Mus musculus: one gene and its partner. The protein of the gene in region 1 purifies or fractionates together with the protein of each later gene. This does not show direct contact. Links are inferred from orthologs where the notes say so. Each region holds a gene or a part of one and is shown in the gene's direction. Other genes may lie near its edges.

Evidence for each region. The genes of interacting proteins can lie anywhere in the genome.
Region 2: the proteins of Rnf185 (region 1) and Erlin1 purify together in Homo sapiens (affinity purification with mass spectrometry; 3 studies listed by BioGRID and IntAct, with this or other methods). This does not show direct contact. The link is inferred for Mus musculus from reciprocal best matches to the Homo sapiens genes RNF185 and ERLIN1.

Annotation. Positions count from the first base shown.
Region 1 is NC_000077.6:3,432,364-3,436,017, reverse strand, and holds part of Rnf185 (E3 ubiquitin-protein ligase RNF185), read left to right. Parts: intron 1-3,397; coding exon of another isoform or gene 3,398-3,442; coding exon 3,443-3,618; intron 3,619-3,654. UniProt on the Homo sapiens protein: E3 ubiquitin-protein ligase that regulates selective mitochondrial autophagy by mediating 'Lys-63'-linked polyubiquitination of BNIP1.
Region 2 is NC_000085.6:44,038,715-44,042,368, reverse strand, and holds part of Erlin1 (erlin-1), read left to right. Parts: intron 1-1,532; coding exon 1,533-1,622; intron 1,623-3,116; coding exon 3,117-3,196; intron 3,197-3,654. UniProt on the Homo sapiens protein: Component of the ERLIN1/ERLIN2 complex which mediates the endoplasmic reticulum-associated degradation (ERAD) of inositol 1,4,5-trisphosphate receptors (IP3Rs).

The DNA of each region.
Region 1 (3,654 bases):
TACCTAGGCCCAGAAGTTCCAGACCAGCCACAGTGAGGTTGCTGTATTGGTAAGATCAGAGTCTGTAGGCTCTATAAGGACCAAGATTGACTTTAGCAGCTCAGCAAGGGTCAGGCCCTATTTTCTTCTAATTCTAGGTAGAAGTCTAGTGTCCGAGTCAACCAGGACCTATATTATCTGGCCACTGTCCTAGTCCTACAAGTCCCATGAGGCTGTGGCTACATTTTTTTGCTCTGTAGGTGCTCAGCTGATAGCCCCAAAGCGATGCTGCTCATCTCTCTTTGCACATGGGGTTGGGGAGGAGGTAGAGAAGAGGCTTCATAGATGAGTATATGGCTTTGGAACCCAGACTTGCAAAGGGGTTTGTGAGCAGGCAGCCTGGCGGTTGACCGTAACCAGTCATGCGCACTTGTACTCACTCATTCAGCAGTTATCTGAGCGCCTACTTGGATGAGGCCTGGAGAAGGGAGTCAGGATAAGAGTGGTGTGGGATGTTCAGAGTTGTCATGTCCCAGTATTTGGGTCGCTGCATGGCTATTATACCCTGCAAACTCTCAGCTGGCCTTTTGCTGTCTCCTGACTATTCCTACCTTAACACCTCTCTTTACCCCAGTTTTTGCAACATGCCTGTGAGTGGTAGCATGAGCCATGCAGAGCCTTGTTGGATCGGGTAGGATGGGTTGATTGTAAGTATTGCATATGTGGCAGTAGCCCCTCCTACATAGGTTTGCCCTAGATCACTGATCTGGGTAGCCCAGTGCTTACTTTTCAGGGGATAAACGAAATTAGTTAGTTTATATAACCTGGGTTGACCTCAGATTTACATGTAGCCAAGAATGTCTTTGAACTTCATTCAGATCCTCCTGCTTCTACCTCTTTTTTTTTTTTTTTTTTTTTGAGACAGGGTTTCTCTGTGTAACTCTGGCTATCCTGGAACTCACTTTGTAGATCAGGCTGGCCTTGAACTCAGACATCCTCCTGCCTCTGCCTCCCAAGTGCTGGGATTACAGGCATGAGCCACCACTGCCCGACCTGCTTCTACCTTTTAAGTTTTGAGATTATAGGTAAATGCCACTGTGCCTTATTTTAAGTGGTGCTGGAAATCCAGTTGTTTTATGCATGCTTGGCAGACTCTCTGCAAACTGTGCTACATCCCCGTTGCAGAGAAAAGAAATTTAAACCATGGTCAGTCAGTATTAGAGTCGAATTTGAATTTAGAGCTTTTCAGGATTGAGGAAAATGTAGACATTATAGGTACTGCTATACTAGCCTGATTTCAAAAGCAGTATATTAAAAATGTGATGCATCAGGACATGGTGATATATACCTTTAATCCCAGCTGAGGAGGCAGGAGCAGGTGGGTCTGTGAGTTTGAGGCTGGCCTGGTCTACATCATGTGGGTGCTGGGAACCCAGGTTTAGATCTTCACATTTAAACAAGAAGCATTTTACTGACTGAACCATCCCCCTAGCCTTATTCTGGAATATTTTAAAGTAAATTCCAAACATCCTATTCTTTAATTAAAAAAAAAAATCTCTGTATATGCGTGTGCATGTATAACTATGTGAGTGTCCTTCCTCTGGAGTGATCTACCTTGTTTTTTGATTAAGTCTCTCATTGATTGGCCCAGAGTTGGCCTGACTTAAAGTTACATGATAAGATTATAACCCAACAAAATTAACAGTAATTCTGCCAATGTTAAACAAAACAGATGAGCGTTAGTAGTACACATAAAATGAAGTAGATCTCAGAAGGGAGCACTGGGGCTTGTGGATCTGTATAGTGATGGAGTGCTCAGTGTTGAACTAGCATTGTAAGGGCCTACATTTACTCCCTAGTAATACACACACACACACACACACACACACACACACACGGTTATAAAGAGGAAAAGGAGGAAACTCTAGACCATGAAGAAGGTCTTGGAACTGAGGCTAGCAAGACACTGCTACCGTCAGCAACCAGCTGCCCTTCTGGGACATCACGTAAAATGATGTAACTGAGTGAAAAAGTGGCAGAGACCTGGTCTCTCTCCCTGCCCTAGTCGCTAAGCTGCAGTTGTAGTGAGAGTTGCTCATGAGCCCCAAGCTCTAAATCTGTCCTGTGAAGGTGCAGGGGAAGGCTTCTTGGTCTGAGAAAACCAGCTGTGGGGACTTGATTTTTTTTTTTATTTGGAAGCTGAAGTCAAGGTGATCTGATACCCCAGTGGTGAGTCCTCATTTTATACCTGAGAAAAGCATGGCCAGGAAAAGTGTGGTTCCTAGCAGGCTGGAGGCTGGGCAGAGTCTTTAGGTCTCTATGGTAGCCACCCAGTATTTCTGCTTCTAATTCCTGAACTAATGAGGGTAGCCATATGAAGCTCCTGACAGGCTCTTATTGTGCACTCAGAATTCCTGGATATGCCTTGTATGGGTCTCTTTGTCTTTGCTTGCTTTCTTTGATTTGGAAGTGGTGGTCAATAATGATATGTTTTTCACTGGCAGTTGGTGACCAGCCTTAGCTATGGTGATGTGGTGATTTGAATACAAATAGTGTACCATGAGTCCTGGTCTCAAACCCACACTAATCACTCAGCCAGCTAACTCAGTCTTCCTGAAGTGACCAGGACTGCCTAGAGCATGAGTGTCCCAGATGACTTTGGGATGTATGGGATGGACAACTTTTCCTTCACTGGCATAAATTCCTTTTTAAGTGTGTTGATATATTTAGACAAAATAAGGTAAGTGGTATCCAGCTGGCAGAAAGTACCAAAGATCATCATCGGCTGCTTCAAGCTTCCCAATCTTTCCCAGTCACAGGAATTTCTTTATATTCTGCCATATATCAGTCATAATCTTGAGTAGATTCTGTTCTCCTAGTCAACATAAATTGTCCAAAATTAAAAGATAGCTTGGCCGGGCAGTGGTGGCGCATGCCTTTAATCCCAGCACTTGGGAGGAAGAGGCAGGTGGATTTCTGAGTTCGAGGCCAGCCTGGTCTACAGAGTGAGTTCCAGGACAGCCAGGGCTACACAAGAGAAACCCTGTCTCAAAAACAAAAACAAAAACAAACAAACAAAAAAAGATACCTTGGCAGTTCAATTTAATATTTAATGGAGAATAATACTTATTACCTGCTGTGGTTAATCCAGGAAATATAAATGGGAAAGCTGTGTTGAGAACTTTCTAGAGGTTGCTCTGCATTTTTGCAGTTTGTGTTTTATGAGATGTGTTCTTGGGCCATTTCCATCAGCAACTCATGAGGAGTGCATGAGCTTCTGTCCCTGCCGCCCTCTGGGAAGTCAGCTCCCAGTTCAATCATAGTTAGAGTTTATAGCTGAGAGAAGATGAGGTATTGGCTTGGAAGTTGAGGGAAGTAGGCTGCAGCAATGGACAATCAAGTGCTTTCTGCCTTCCAGGATTGTCTTGAGAATCTTCCCTGGAAGCTTTGCTGGCAAGCAGCCATGGCAAGTAAAGGGCCTTCGGCCTCTGCATCCACTGAGAATTCCAATGCAGGGGGGCCCAGTGGCAGCAGCAATGGCACTGGTGAGAGTGGAGGGCAGGACAGCACCTTTGAGTGCAACATATGCCTGGACACAGCCAAGGATGCTGTCATCAGCCTGTGTGGCCACCTCTTCTGGTGAGTACCCTTCCTGCCATCTCTGTGGACACCCTA
Region 2 (3,654 bases), on another chromosome or scaffold:
TGGTTTTATTTGGAAGTCAGTTCAAATGTACAAGGCCTTTCTGCTCCTGTTTGGAGCATTGCCTACTTGCCGCTCTTTCTTGTGAAATAGTCACACCGTAGCTGCCACCATACAAATCCTCAGCTCTCTCTCTCTCTCTGTGCCCTTGAGGGTTTAGTTCCTGCTATGAACTTGCTGTGCATTCTAAGGCAGACCAATTGTCTACCATGACAGTTTCGGGTATACCTGAAAGGAATTTTCTCCTTTGTCTATTCCTCTGTCTGGAATCCAAATCTTGCTGTTCATTGGTTTCTTCCCATGAAATGGAGAGTGGTATATCGCAGTTTATCTTTAAACTAGAATAATACACATTAATTTCACTCTATTAAGTCCTGGGGTAATTTATAAAGGGTACTGTCTTCTGGAAAAAAAAATAAAAGTGTTTAGAAATTTTCTTTCTTATTTTATGTTTCTCCCCAGAAGCCAGAGACAAGATATGCTAAAGTATCTTTTGGGGCCTTTGGGGGGTTTCATACCATAGTCTACAGTATTTTAGCCCCTTATAGAAAATGGAATGTGTTTCATCTGACATAGGTGCATTCTCTCATATACTTTACTTATCCCTGTTAAATGAAAGCTCTACGGAAACCGTTGTTATACTACACCATTCAGGGAGTGATGACAAGAAGAATCTTTATGTTCAGTACACACTTGTTTTAAAGTTCTGAGTGTTTTCCATCTGTATTTGGTTGAATCTTCAGATGAGAAACCTGTGACCATAGAAGACCATAGCTGTCATAATCTTCATCTGAAAAGGAAAATTGAGATGTTATTTTAAGAATTATGTCGATAGACTTTCAAGTGTAATTGGAACCGTTCCTGTTTGGTCTGGGGAGCTTTGGTTAGGACAGATGGTCACTAAAGGTGTTTAGTTTCCCTGTGTGCACTTGGGTATGGCAGCTTCTGTGCTCACTGTGAACATTTGTTTCCATTGCTAACTCATGTCCTTCTTTTCCTATGTCATCTTCTTGGTGATCCTGTCACTCAAAACACAGGCTTCCTGTTGTCCTCTTTTGTTGTCTGGCTGTAGACTCTCTCTATGTAGGGTTTTTGTTTTGTTTTTTCCTTTATCCCTATGTAATTTCTTTTATGCTTCATGGCATATCCCTACCAGGTCATGTCCATTGTTTCCTACAACATGTCCTCTTGTTTAATTTCCCTAATTCTGCCTTTCCCTTGCCACTATATGCCATTGTCCTTTGTCACCATGAGTTTGTACTGCTTCACTTTTGTACCGGTCTTTACCTCTAGCCTGTGAACCGTTGTTTTCTAGTCTCATGAAAGACTGAAACTGCTAACCTTTTATAACCTTCCTCCCACAAAGAAGAACAGCACCAAACTAGAACAGCAAAGAAAGAAGGGAATTCCCTTCCTCTCAATCGTTTCAGAACAGATAAAACCTTGGAAGCAGTTAGACATAAAGCCACATGTAATTAATGTTGCACTTTGTACTGCTGATTCTAAGTGTGTTTCTCTTTGTTGTGTTATTATAGAAGCAGAGAAGATTGCACAAGTAGCAAAAATTCGATTTCAACAGAAAGTGATGGAGAAAGAAACTGAAAAACGCATTTCTGAGATTGAAGGTACAACAGTGAAAGGCTGAAGTTCTGAGTGTCCTGAACTGCCTCTCTGCATCAGGACCAGTTCTTGATTGTCTTGTGGGGGAAAAACATAGGACATGCTGGTCTGGAGGAAGTAACTACCCTGATGCTCTAGACAAACAACAACAAAACCTATGTAATTTAGTTCTCACTTTAGTCTGTGACTTTCATTTCCTTTTCTACAATGAGGCTTTTTTAGCTCTTACTATATTTTCTGATGAAGTATAAGAATTCCTTAAAATCTTTTGTTAAAACAAAATAAGTGTCTAGAGAGATGGCTCAGTGGTTAAGAACACTGGCTACTCTTCCAGAGGACAAGGTTCAATCCGCAGACCCATGTGATAGTTCATAACTATCTTTAATTCCAGTCCCCAGGGGATCTAACACCCTTTTGTATACATATGATGCTCAGAGATACATGGCTGGTAAAATACCCACATACATTAAAAAAAAAAAAAAGAAATGAAATGAAAAGCTTTTAGGCATGTGCTCAGTAAGGGCAGGGGAGATAGCTCGGTACTTAAGAACACGTATGGCTCTCGAAGAGAATCTGAGTTCAGTTCTAAGAACCTAGCTTAGGCAGTACTCAGCTGCCTCTAACTACAGCTCCAGATGGTCTCTTGGGTACAATCTCTCTCTCTCTCCTTCTCTCCCTCCCCCTCCCCCCTCTGTGTGTCTTTCTTCTCTTACTCTCACATACACACATAATTTAAACACATAAATTAAACACACAAATAATTTTTTGATGTTCAAAATAATGAACTGAACCACCACCAGTTTGTCACATGTCAACAGCAATAATAACAAATTAGCTGGGGCCACACGCCTTTAATCCCAGCACTTGGGAGGCAGAGGCAGGCAGATTTCTTAGTTCAAGGCCAGCCTGGTCTACACAGTGAGTTCCAGGACAGCCAGGGCTACACAGAGAAACCCTGTCTTGACCAAAAAAAAAAAAAAAAAAAAAAAAAATTAGCTGGGAAAAAGATACAGTCCAGTTGTAATGAAAAATCTAAAACTCTGTAATCACGTAGATCTGTTCATTATTGAACCCAGGGCCTTGCATATGCTAGCTAATGTGGATGTTCTTAGACCATGGTCTATGCTTATATATAGCTTTTTCTTATCTCTCTGTGTTTCTAGATTCGGCCTGTAGTTGTTTTGCCTGACCCCTTCCTGGGTGGAGGGTAAGGCTCTAGGTGATGGGAAGTTGGAGGGAGGTGGAGGACAAGGGAACTACTTAGAACAGAAAATGAGTTAACTTAGAAAGGAGCTGTTGGTTAACAGTGATGAACTTTAATTCCCCTTATAAAGGAGCTGTTCTGAGGATTGAGAGTTTTTAAGTTGTTAAATTTATAACTTACAGTGAGGCAAACAATTGAAATATTAAGCAGTAAAAAAGATACTCTTACCCAGATGAGGGAATAGAGTGGCAATTTTCTTTCATTGCAAACATGCTGTTACCGTTTTATTTGCTAGATGCTGCGTTCCTGGCCCGAGAGAAGGCAAAAGCAGATGCCGAGTATTACGCTGCACACAAATACGCCACCTCAAACAAGGTGACTGCCCATGCCCTTCCCTAGTAACTGCTTCTGGTGTGCATTCAATATCATGGGTTCTAGTGTGGTAGAAGTAGTTGTATTCAGTATCAGAAAAGGGTAGTGGCCAACCCATCATTGACCAAATACATAGCAAGACATATTGATACCCATTGTTAGGGAGGGAACATTGTCTGTTTTTCTAAAAGTAAGGAGTAAAGACTAGTGGATTCATGAGCACAGGTCAAATGCCATGAAACCATCCATCTCTCCTGTAAGAAAGGGCTCTGAGAAGTTGAAGATCTTTTGAGAAAATGACAGAAAAAGAGGAAAACTAAGTTAGAATAGCTTTCCTGATAAGTTAGCTTTTCAGGATAAAAACTGAACTTTACTGCCTCCTCTCAGGGACATCCTTGCAGCTTCTGGGGCAAGATAGTTTTCCACCGTTGAAGGCTGTCCGCGTGCTATGGTGCATTTGT